3 linked regions of the Sus scrofa genome follow. The protein of the gene in region 2 interacts with the protein of the main gene of each other region in a pairwise test. Links are inferred from orthologs where the notes say so. Each region holds a gene or a part of one and is shown on either strand. Other genes may lie near its edges. The genes, in order: FAM204A, SMYD1 and ZBTB44.

What was found.
Region 1: the proteins of SMYD1 (region 2) and FAM204A interact in binary tests that used the Homo sapiens proteins (3 or more experiments, as listed by UniProt). The link is inferred for Sus scrofa from reciprocal best matches to the Homo sapiens genes SMYD1 and FAM204A.
Region 3: the proteins of SMYD1 (region 2) and ZBTB44 interact in binary tests that used the Homo sapiens proteins (3 or more experiments, as listed by UniProt). The link is inferred for Sus scrofa from reciprocal best matches to the Homo sapiens genes SMYD1 and ZBTB44.

Annotation. Positions count from the first base shown.
Region 1 is NC_010456.5:128,365,605-128,368,698, forward strand, and holds the end of FAM204A (protein FAM204A), read right to left. Parts: intron 2,541-3,094; coding exon 2,434-2,540; intron 2,132-2,433; coding exon 2,080-2,131; 3' UTR 548-2,079; downstream 1-547.
Region 2 is NC_010445.4:57,915,708-57,919,831, forward strand, and holds the start of SMYD1 (histone-lysine N-methyltransferase SMYD1), read right to left. Parts: upstream 2,870-4,124; 5' UTR 2,776-2,869; coding exon 2,639-2,775; intron 1-2,638. UniProt on the Homo sapiens protein: Methylates histone H3 at 'Lys-4' (H3K4me), seems able to perform both mono-, di-, and trimethylation. Acts as a transcriptional repressor. Essential for cardiomyocyte differentiation and cardiac morphogenesis.
Region 3 is NC_010451.4:57,015,859-57,020,218, forward strand, and holds the start of ZBTB44 (zinc finger and BTB domain-containing protein 44), read right to left. Parts: upstream 2,946-4,360; 5' UTR 2,727-2,945; intron 1,967-2,726; exon of another isoform or gene 1,676-1,966; coding exon of another isoform or gene 1,347-1,675; exon of another isoform or gene 1,340-1,346; intron 950-1,339; coding exon of another isoform or gene 923-949; intron 1-922. Other genes in the region: proline-rich protein 18-like, read left to right, coding at 923-949, 1,347-1,675, 3,352-3,400. UniProt on the Homo sapiens protein: May be involved in transcriptional regulation.

The sequences.
Region 1 (3,094 bases), on a different chromosome or scaffold from region 2:
GGCCAGGGAGCAGGCCGAAGAAGGGCGTCCACAGCAAGACCTGGGGTCGGGGGCTCCCAAATCAGACCCTACAGGAGGCCACTCCGGTAAGGCCTCAGCACGAGCAGAGTGGGGAGTTGTGCCTGGAGGGAGATGGGTGTCTGTGAGCCCTGTGCATGAGAATACGTTCATCACCCGCCAGCTCAAAGAGGATGTTTGGCAAGTTTTGGACAAAACCACGGGACTGTGTGGTGGATAGCTCCCCCATGAGAGATTTTTCAGAGGAACCTTCTCTATACTCTAAGTTTTTTTTTTTTTTTTTTTTTTTTGCTATTTCTTGGGCCGCTCCTGCGGCATATGGAGGTTCCCAGCCTAGGGGTCTAATCGGAGCTGCGGCCACCAGCCTACACCAGAGCCACAGCAACGCAGGATCTGAGCCGCGTCTGCAACCTACACCACAGCTCACAGCAACGCCAGATTGTTAACCCACTGAGCAAGGGCAGGGATCGAACCCGCAACCTCATGGTTCCTAGTCGGATTCGTTAACCACTGCGCCACGACGGGAACTCCTATACTCTAAGTTTTATTCACCTCTTAGGAGTGCAAAATAAGATGGTGCAGGTAAGTTGTGTATGATTATACCTACAGACCCCAACAAAGGAATGTTTAAGCAGAAATGTAAAGATTTCCCAATATTTGGTCTGAACATCTTTTCATGATGAATTAATTCTATAAGCAGATACACTATCTCCTAAAATCTTGCCTTCTTTATTACATGATATGATTTTTGCTCTCTTGAATAGCAACTAGTTGCTGACTTAGTCCAAAACAAAGGAAAAAACCCCATTAAATATGTCATCATAATTAGTAAAATTTGGTTATTAATTGTAAGTCTAAAAGTAACAAAATACTACTACTAATAATATAATTACAATCATGACTCATCTTCTATGTTCCTGAATTCATATTATTAGCCTAGAGAAAGTCTGTATTAGATGGCTAGAAAACCTCTGATGAAGGGAAGTGAATTAATGAAAACCCACCAAAAGCAGTTCTTTCCCTCTGCTGAGCACCAAGAAGGAGGTGTCAGAACACCAAAGACCTGCCCAAAAAATCACAACTTCCAGCCGTGGTCTCGTCCACCAGCTTGTGACATGATTTCTCAAAGCACACTTCTGATGAAAACTACTTCTCAGGGAAGCAATCCCCTTCATCATTCATTCATTCATTCATTCAATCTTTCCAGGATTAATGGGGAAGAGGAGTAAAAACAATCAAGCCAACGTTCTTAGAAGTTCAAAGTTACACTGTCTTGAGTTATAACTAACAATATCACACCAATTTCTCCTCTAAGAACCATCTCATAATTTAAATGACAGAGGCGAGAGAGAGATTTAAGAAGACATTTCCAGGCAGAGAACTGGAATTTAAATCATCCTTCAAACACTACATTCTGTCATTTCTTAAAACTGTGATACTTAATCTGAAAGTACACAGAAATTAATCAATTGCTTTTATTATGTGACTGTGAAATATCAATGCTACTGCCTCTAATAAAGAATCAATAATTACTTTGATAACATTAAGATAATTAAAGTTGTTTGTAAAGTGACTTACAAATTGGAAAAGTCTCATTATCAATTGAGACTTTCTTGCACTTATGACTAATCCATTACAAACAAATGACAATCTTAAAAACTCCAGAATAACTCCAGAATGAGTGTAGTTACACTGAGTACAGATAAGAAAGCACGAGGAGCTCTTTGGCTATGCTACACCAAATGGATGAAAAGTAAAATTGATTTTATCCTGGAGGTCCAGATAAACAAAGAAATAAAATCCTATCTTTTCCCTCCATATGTATGCTTAAATTTCCTGTACAAATAACAGAATTCTCCATGTCATTTACTTCAATAGGATGAACTCTTTAGAAAAAGACTGAAAAAGATTTGATAATCAACTCCCAAATGTTATGCTTATTTTTTCTACTTCCATCAATTTCCTGATATAGTTAACAGAAGCAGGAAAATTTTTTTCAGTCAATTGAGCAACTGAAGATTCAAGGGAGAAGTCTTGAAGGTCTTGAGGAATTCTGACAAGTCACATATACCCCATGTTACTTTTGGTTTCCCACCTCTTCTTTGCTTCAAACCTAAAAGGAAGAACATGAACATCTCAATTGATTGCTAAATACTTTCCTAAAGTCACATGTTTACTAAGCACCAAAGTAAAAGTAAAAAGTTTTCAGATGGTCCATCAACCAAGGATGAGGAGATGTCTCCATATGTATAACCTGATAAACATTCAGCAAAGATACAAAGAATAAAATGAGTAACAATGACAAAAACGGATTCCCAAAATGTATCACAGGATTTCCATAATTTAGTTAGTAGAATTACCAAAAAACAAAACAAACCAAAAAACCAAAACCCCCCACAAAACCCTTAAACTTACCCCCAGGCAAGTTTCTTCTTTTTTCGAGCAACCTGTGAATTTTCAGCATCTTTTTTGGCTTTCACAAAGTTGTGGCAGGCAATTGCTTTGGCAATTTTTACACCAAGCTAGCAATCACAAAGGAGACAAAGTCGAGATGAATATTCCAGCTAGTGTAAGAATGACAATGGTAGAATACTCGAGAATTTGTGGGGGAAGAAAGCCAGTCTACATTGCTTTAGACATGCTAAGAAGAGACATTCTTATGATCAGCCCCCTCCCCCAAACCACCAAAAGGAGTGCAAAGACAGCCCCAATTCCCCTCCCCTCCCCTCTGGCAGGCCTTGTCCCCAGTTGGACCAGTCTCCCAGACGGAGATCCTGCCCACACGAAGGCCCTCGAGGGTCCGCGGGGCGGAGGATGAAGATCCTGAAGCTATTTCAGCCTTTCAGGAGACCAGACAGGAATTTACCCGATAAGGCTGCGCAGGCTGACAGAGACATCAAGTTTCTTTGCTCGGGGCTGGAATTACGGCAACTGAGTATGGGCACACCCGTTATCTCACGCTGATCACAAGCTCGGACTGGCAGTCACAGATGTGATTAATAAAACATGGAAAGCTAATTACTACTTCATAAACATACCTTGTGTGATGGGCAATAGCTTTTCACTCACTGACAGA
Region 2 (4,124 bases):
ACAAAGGAGTGGTCGGAGAACTTGCAGCTGTTAAGTACTACATTCATGAAGAGAGTGTAGTGACACAGAAGACATCTAAATCATTAAATGAAAAACCCATGATAGTTTGGAGTTCTCACTGTGGCACAGTCAGTTAGGAATCCAACTGCAGTGGCTCTAGTCTCTGGGGAAGCACAGGTTTGATCCCTGGCCTGGGTAACTTCCATATACTGCAGGTGCAGCCATTAAAAAAATGGTAGTTTATATATAATAATATACAAGCCTGTAGTACAAACAAATGAACCCTGTGTTGTAAAATAAGCAGGAGACAATCAACAAGGTTGAGTTATCTTGGTGTGAAGATACCTTTTTTTCTTCCTAAATTTGACTTTTATAATGAAGGGAAAACCCACTCAACTCCAAACCGTCGTGAAGGAGAAACTGATTGGCCATATTGGCTTTTAGGGAATTGCAGAAACCCATGGAGGTTCTTTAAAAGGCAAGGTGGCAACTCAGTGGCAGCACCAAGATTATTCAGGGTTCCTGTGTTTCTAGATTTTTTTTTCCTTTTCCTTTTTAGGGCCATGTGGCACATGGAAGTTCCCAGACCAGGGGTCAAATCGGAGCTGCAGCTGCCAGGCTACACCACAGCCACAACAACACCAGACCCGAGCCACATCTGCAACTTACACCACAGTTCACAGCAACACCGGATCCTTTACCCACTGAGTGAGGCCAGAGATAGAACCCGAATCCTCATGGCATTAGGCAGGTTCCTTACTACTGAGCCACAATGGGAACTACCCTGTGTTTCCAGCTTTTTATGTCTTAATTTTGGATGCCACTAACTCCTCATCCACCCCCAACAGACACACGCACACACACACACATACACACACACACAATTACATTAACAAAGTAAGACCCAGAGTTCCCATTGCGTCTCAGTGGTAAAAAAAAAAAAAAAAAAAAAATCTGACTAAGATTCATGAGGATGCAGGGTCAATCCCTGGCCCTGCTCAGTGGGTTAAGGATCCAGCATTGCTGTGAGCTGCACTGTAGATTCGCAGATGCTGCTCTGATCTGGCGTTGCTGTGGCTGTGGCTATAGGCTGGCAGCTGCAGCTCCGATTGGACCCCTGGTCTGGGAACTTCCATATGCCATGGGTGCAGCCCTAAAAAGATGAAAATAAATAAATAAATAAGGTAAGACCCACTCCCCCAAGAGGTATTACTGTCCTCTCAGCTGCTTTATATTCCTCAGCTGGTATCAGCTGCCTTCTCCCTGAAGGTCTTCATAGGTAGGAAGAAATGAGAATTCAAATGCTGCTCAAATTATCTCTGAAAACCTTTGCCCATTCTCAGGATGGTCACGAAGCCAAGATCAGAGGCCATCTTTATTGAGACTACATCAATGTCAGGCAGGCCACCCCAACTTTTGAGAATACTGTTATAATTTCATCACAGTATAAGGTTTTTTCTAAAAAAAAAAAAAAGAAAAATAGAGATTTAGTACTAATTTGAAAGTTTGGGTCAAGGATGGACAGGATTGTGAGGAAATGAGAATGTAAATTTAACAGACCCACTAAGGAGATCCTATTAAAATGGAAAAAAGTACACCCTATGGCAGAGTGATTCCTCTTTTAGCCATTCATCCTAGAGAATTATCACGCATGAGTACAAGTGGACATGATCGAGGATTTTAACTGCAGAAATATTTGTTTTTATGAAAAAAAATGGAGACCACCAAATGTTTCTCAATAGGGCAACAGATTTCTTAAAGACCATATATTTACAGGGAAGAATATCTACAGAAGTTAAAATTTGTGATCCATAGAGCGTATGGATCAACATGGATAGATCTACACGTGGGAGGAAAAAACAGATCTTTGACGATTTAAAAGAAGTGTCTATAAACTTACAGTTTCCACATGGATAAGTATCAAAACATGCTTAGTGAAAACAGTATGTTTCAGAATGATGTCTGAAGTATGATAACATTTCTGTTAAAAAAAGACAAATTACAGCTATATATTTGGTAAGTACAGATATAGACAGATAGATGCAATAGAACAAGAATATTCTAGAAAGAATCATTAAAATCACAAGAAGGATTACCTCTGAGGAAAGACAGAGGGGACTGGGTTTCTGGGTGGGAAAGGTAAAAGAGGATTCCCGTTCATGGGTGATACTCCTATTTTCAAAAGCAAATGGACTCCAGGAGTACTTGCATATTTACATGTTTTTAAAATCCCAGGACTCACTTACTTCTCTAATATGTTTATTTTATCTCAGAAGCTAAAAAACATGGAGCCCTCTGGAAAAGATTTCAAGGCACCACACCCACCTCTCCCTTTCTCTCCAACCTCACCACACACAGCACTCCCACTCAGCCAAGTTCACCAGTGCTCTGAGCACTTGCCCCCAAGCCTTTGATCACCTTTGCAACCCCACCCCAGGCACCAGAGCAAATCCCACTGGCAGTGACTCTTTGCAGGAAAAGTTACACAAGAAAACAGTTAGCTGTTGGAATGCCATTCCTTATCAATGGCCCCATGGATTTTATCCCTTGCTCTGATGATTTTGAGAGCAAAATATTTGAGAATGTGGCAACAGCCAAACCAACAGGAGAAAAGAGGGCAACCACCCACATTCTGTACCTGTCAAAAACCACGGCAGAGTAAGCCCGCTCAGCGAAGATGACATCAGCAGCCCAGAACTCCTTGGTGGCCTTCAGACCTCTGCCTTTGCCCTCAGAAGTAATGACCTCCACATTCTCCATTCTCTCTATTGTCATCTCAGAATCTTAGGGCAGCTCGGCAGATATTTAACACTGAGCCAAGTCCCTTGTCCTCGCTGCTATTTCAGCACCTTCAGCATCCCAAAGAGCAAGCCTATAAATGGACAAGCACCTCCCCTTCCCTACCCCCTCTCAGCCACTGGGTCCCCACCTCCCCCTCTGCCTCTATTCTTGGAGACAGGGATGGGGCAAGCCAGAGGCCAGTGATCTGGGAAGGGTCCCTCGCACCGCCCAATGTAACCGACAACATAGAAAATGATTATGGGTTGGTGTGCTTCTCATATTGGGTCTGAAAACTTTTGAAAAGTTCTTTTGCAAGGGTAGTTAAGTCCTGGATGGCAGTCATGCTCAGCTTGAGTTGGAATAGGCGGCACTTGGTCAGTCGGGTATTTTTAGCAGCCAGATGCCTGTGTCAATCCAAAGCAGACAGCTGAAGTGGTCCAAGAGAAGAGGCGAGGTGATGCTTACTGTTCTGGGACCCTTCAGCTGTCAGGCTTGGACTTTCTCAAGTGAGACGGGCCCCTTGTTCCCCCCCCCCCGCCCGCCCCCGCCCCAGGCACCAGAGCAAATCCACATGGGTGGACTGTTTGCAGAAAGCAGCAGATGCAAAAGTGGCCTCTGGGCTATGTGCATAACAGTACGTTTAGGTTCTAATGGGCATCCCTCTTCCCCAGTATAACCTGGGCCTCCCACAGCACCTCCATCCAGGGCCTGGAGGACTGAGAATTCCCTGATAACACGTATGTGCTAGATGAAAGCTATATTATGAGAGCAGGCAGGCCTTGACAATGAACACTCTCCTGTCTCTCAGGCTATCAAATCTCCCTTAAACATGTGTTTGTTGCCAGAAAAATAGTAATTGGATATTGGATGGATTATTGCAAAATCTCCCTTGAACTAAAAGCCACTTGTCTTGAAGGCCAGGCAGCTCTCACTGAGGTTGAAAAGAAAGACTCTTGCAGATCTGGAGCTGTGGCTTACCTTTCAGGTAATATTTTTAGTTTCTGGGATGCATCTATTTACAGATTTCTGTGCTCTGGATTTCTGTGAGTGCAGTAGCTTGTAAGTGCTGGCTTCTGTGTCAGCTAAATCTGCATTTAAATTTTGAGCCTACAGGGACAACTTTGATATCCTAGTTACAAAACAAGGGGGATAGTTTCACTGGTAAATGAAGTAATAGGCACCAAGGAAGTAGCATACCTTTCGGCACTTTGAATGGGACTTTTTCCATATTTTATGTATTCAGTCACTTTATCTTCCCTAAACCATCCAGATACACTAGCGATTCTAATGTGCCTTCAACCAAATTGCATCTCCTGAAACTGCCTTGACTTCTGGAAGCAGCT
Region 3 (4,360 bases), on a different chromosome or scaffold from region 2:
GAATGTCCATAGTTTTGGGAAACACTTGGGGAAATACTGGAGTGTCTTGGTGTTTGCAATTTACTTTCAAATAGTTAGAGAGACACACAGAAAGGGAAGAGAGGTGGGGGGGTCAATACCACAAAAATGCTAATCACTGAATCTAAGTATTGGAGTATTCACTACATTTTCCCTTAATTTCCGAGAGACTGGTATTTTTCACATTAAGTTTTTTAAAAGTATTCCTATACTGAGAGGCACAGTAGAAAACATTTCTACAATGGAATTATATCTGGGGACAAATTTCACTTCTATTACTAACTAGTTGTGTGGCCTAAGGCAAAGTTACTTAAAATTACTTAAGTTTCTGTCTCATCTATAAAACTCAAGTAATAATGTCTAAGTCATTAGGTTGTTCTAAGAATCAAATCAGATCACATGTGTAAAATGCCTAGTAGTGTAGCACAGAAAAAGTAAACCTGGTTTGCCTATTTAATGCTATCATTCTAAAATACAGGGCTATAGGAAAACATTCCTTTCATTATCGCCACATTCCACGATAAAGATACATTAGGTAAAATTAAAAGTCCATTGGCAGTTAAAGCGAAGTGACGGGGGTAAGTAAATGCATAATGAAGATTTATATAATATTTTTTAAAATCCAGTAATTCCAACTGAGACCCTCTAGGCAAAAAAATCTACCTACCCAAACCATTCGTATCTATCAAATTGTGAAGTCTGCTTTTGGTATTAGCCTCTATCCGAATAAAACATTAAGAAAATAAGTGGAAGTTAGAGACTTTCTTCCTGACCAACTGATAATCTACTTATACGTTTTCTTAAAAAAACGAAGTTTTTGTCTTCATTTCTATAAGTTCCAATAAAGCACACAATTTTTGGGCTTTATCCTAAATTCTAGTTAAGCATCATACAACTCACAAGCATGCAGTTTCCTTTCATCAGTGCTAACGTAACTCGTCATGTCACTCGCAGGTAACCCTTTTCCGGCTAGGCCAGCAGAAAATGACTAGAAGCAGACCCATCCTCAGGTAGGGAAGAAAAAAACGTGGGTTTTTTTGTTTTGTTTTTTAAATAAGTGTCGCCCTTTTTTTCCCCACTATCAGAAAAAGAAGCAGGGGAGAGGAGGGAACAGTCGGATCTCGGGCTCCCGGCACGACCAGGTGGGACGCTGACACCCCGCCTCCTCGGGGTTAGGGTGCTGGGCACACGCGCGTGCACACTGGGGGCGCCCTGGGAGATCGGGGCAATTTCTCCTGGACGTCAGGGCCCAGGTTCAGTCTCCTCCCTAAAGGATTAGATACCATTGAGAGCACCCGATAGGGTTCTCCCGGTTCCTTACCGTCCAGCGCCCAGATGGGAGACGCACGGTGGCAGCCCTCGGCGGGCGCGCGCGGCGAAAAAGGGCCGGCCCCCGCCCTCCCCTTCCCTCTTCGTTACCTGCGGGCGGCGGTGCCAGGGCCCGGAGGCCTGCTGCTCCTCCTCCTCCTCCCCTCCAGGCTGTGGCGGCGAGGTGGCGGCGGCGGCGGCGGCCCGGGGGAGGGGGCGGAGCGCGCGGCTCGCAGCCTCTCTCCTCCCCCGGGAGGCGGAGGGGACCCTATCTCGGGCCGCCGCGCCTAGGCCCGTGGACGGCCTGCGGCTGGGGCATGGCGGCCCCGAGCAGCGGCGTGCCTGCGAGGTGGGGGGCGAGAGGCGGCGGGAGGGAAGAGCGCCGAGGGCCTGAGGGGAGGAGCGAGGGGGCCCCGCGAGCCGCGCGAGCGGCCGTTGGGGGCGGTTGGCCGAGGGCAAGCGGTTTGGGGAGCGCGGCGACGGCTCGCGTTTTCCTGGCGGGTCGGGGTGGGGAAGGGGAAGGGGAGTGAGGGGAGGGGAGGGGGAGGTTGGGAGGGAGCCGCCGCCGCGCGCGTGCGGGACGGCGCCGCCGCTGTTGCCGCTCGGCTCACTCCAGCCTGTTTGGGGGCACTTTGTTTGTGTCCCACAATGCTCTGCGCGGGCGGCCGGGCTGGGGAAGGGGAGGGCAAGTGGGCGGGGCGGAGCGAGCTCGGGGGCGGGGCGCGAGCGGGGAGACACGGGTATTGCGCAGCCGCAGAAAAGGCCGCTCCCAGTTCGGGGCTTGAACTGTGGGCGACTCGGCCTCCTGACACCCGCGGGTTTTGACACCGCTCGTGCATCTTTGCGTCTGTGCACACGTGCTGATTTACCGATACACACCGCCCAGACCCTGGCCAATTCGCTTTTCCTCTACCCGTCCAAAGCCGCCTTCCCGTTAGCCCTGACAAACATTTCTGGGCATGGTTCACGCTTCTTGTCTTTTTTTGTTTTCTTTGAACTAAAACCGAAAGAAACTCCTGTTTTCTCGAGTGGTTTCTGTAGCGGGGTTGAACCGGAACACCCCAGGCGCTTTCTCTTGGTGAGGGAGCTGAGCTGGTAGTGGGCCCATTTCTCGCACACGGAAACTGAGGCCTGCGGAGAGGCGGCCTTGACAGGTGAGGACGCTGAGCCCCGCTGGCTCCCACGCCCGCTTCCGCTGCAGGCAGCCGGTGTCCCGGTTGCCTGCGGCCTTTGCACCCCCGGCGTCATATTGGTGCCCGAGGATTTTTCTAGAACTTCCCTCCCTGGGCCACCTGGCGGGACGTGCGGTTCTGAAGTGACTGAAGGAATTCATCTCGTTCCCCCAAAATATGCCCGTTCCTTCCACAAGCTTGAATTTTTTTGGCTCTACCACCACTAACCTGGCTTTCCGGCGGGGAAGACTGTGGGGCGCCCCGAAGTGACTGGTACGGCCGGGAGGCGCTCTAGAGCTCTCGGTCCACTGCAAAATCATGTAAAGTGGTAAAATTCCTGGACCCCAAGTCTTAGCGTCCCGGGGCGGGCGGGCGAGCGCCCGGGACGGAGATCGGCGGGTAGAAGGGGCGCCAGGGCTGCGGGTACAAGCGCGCTCCAGGCAAGCCCGCCGGCCGCGCAGAGGTGGAGGGGGTGCGGCCTGCAGTGCCTCAGGCGCTCTGGGTTCGCATACTTTGTTTTCCCACGCCTCCAGCTTTTACACCGAAAGACTTCTCTCCAAAGGGCTTTGTGCAAGGTGAGCTGACATCCCGCCCGAAGTAGAGTGGAGATTTCTTTTGAAACACTTGGTAACGTCTTGCATTAATCTTTCCGAGAGACCAGCACCCTAGCACCCCCTCTTTCTAACCACTGAAACCCACTTTAAAAATAAAGGCCATAAAAACAACGTCTAATTTTATAGTCTTTTGCAGTTTCCAACTGCTTTTCCAGTATGTATGTCTAACGGCCACCGCAATTGTAGTACTAATAAGTTTTACCACTATTTCCACCATCATTTTATTATTCCCATTTCAGAGATCCAAGTCGGAACGATGTGAAAGAGGCCCAGAAAATTTTGTGCTGAAATTTGAAGAAGGAGAAAAAAAGAAGGTGGAATGCTTACCCTCGGCGGAAAACAGGAGCGACAGAGCAAGTCTCAGGAAGGCCTGAAGTCCTGGTGTTAGAGCAGGTGCACAGGTAACACCTGGAGAAGAATCAGGATGGGAATAAAGTCAAACAAATCGTGTCGACCTCTCCTAGGGTATTCAGTAGGACAGTCAATAAAAGACAACTGGTCAGGTCCTTACTACTCATTACCCAAGGGACTGAGGTGGCAACTTCCTTTCGTGGCAAGAGTAGCAGCCCTGGCCAAAAAAACAAAACAAAACAAAACCAGCTTTCTTTTTTAGTTTACTCTCTTTTCTCCCTTTCCTTCCCTTTTGTACTATTCTGATTTTCATTTTACACTTAAAAATTATCGGCCTCTCACTCCACCCCCACCCTGGGACTGGAAGATCAATTAACCACCAAATGGCTGTGGGGCCCTAAGGGCACAGTGCTAGATGCTTGGATAAGGTGTAAGAAGAAATACAAAGATTAACTTTGTTGTAGTCCTTTCCTCTGTTTTGGCTTTGGGTAGGGTTAGTTTCTGTGGCTTTTGCAGCCTCCCACTTTTTTCTTCCTGGACTAGTAGAGGCTTGCCCTTCAGTTGGTGGAATATATACACCTTTCTTTGACACTCGATTAAATAATACCACTGGGAGGATTTTCTGAAACCAGAATCCTGCATACAGGTGAAACAAACAAACGTAAAACAGTATGAGGAACCTTTAATTATTAACCTGGTGTAGGTGACGCTAAGGAATTCAAATTCCAGGCAAAGAGGGTTTTATTTCAGCCATAAATTTGGGGGACCAAATTCTGGCACAAATGCCACTTGCTTGTGTTAGAGCATTATAGCTGAGTGGGAACTTACTTAGTCCATAACTTATTTCAGAATAAGAATGCTTGACACTTAACTGCAAGATCTCTAGTCTGACTTGGC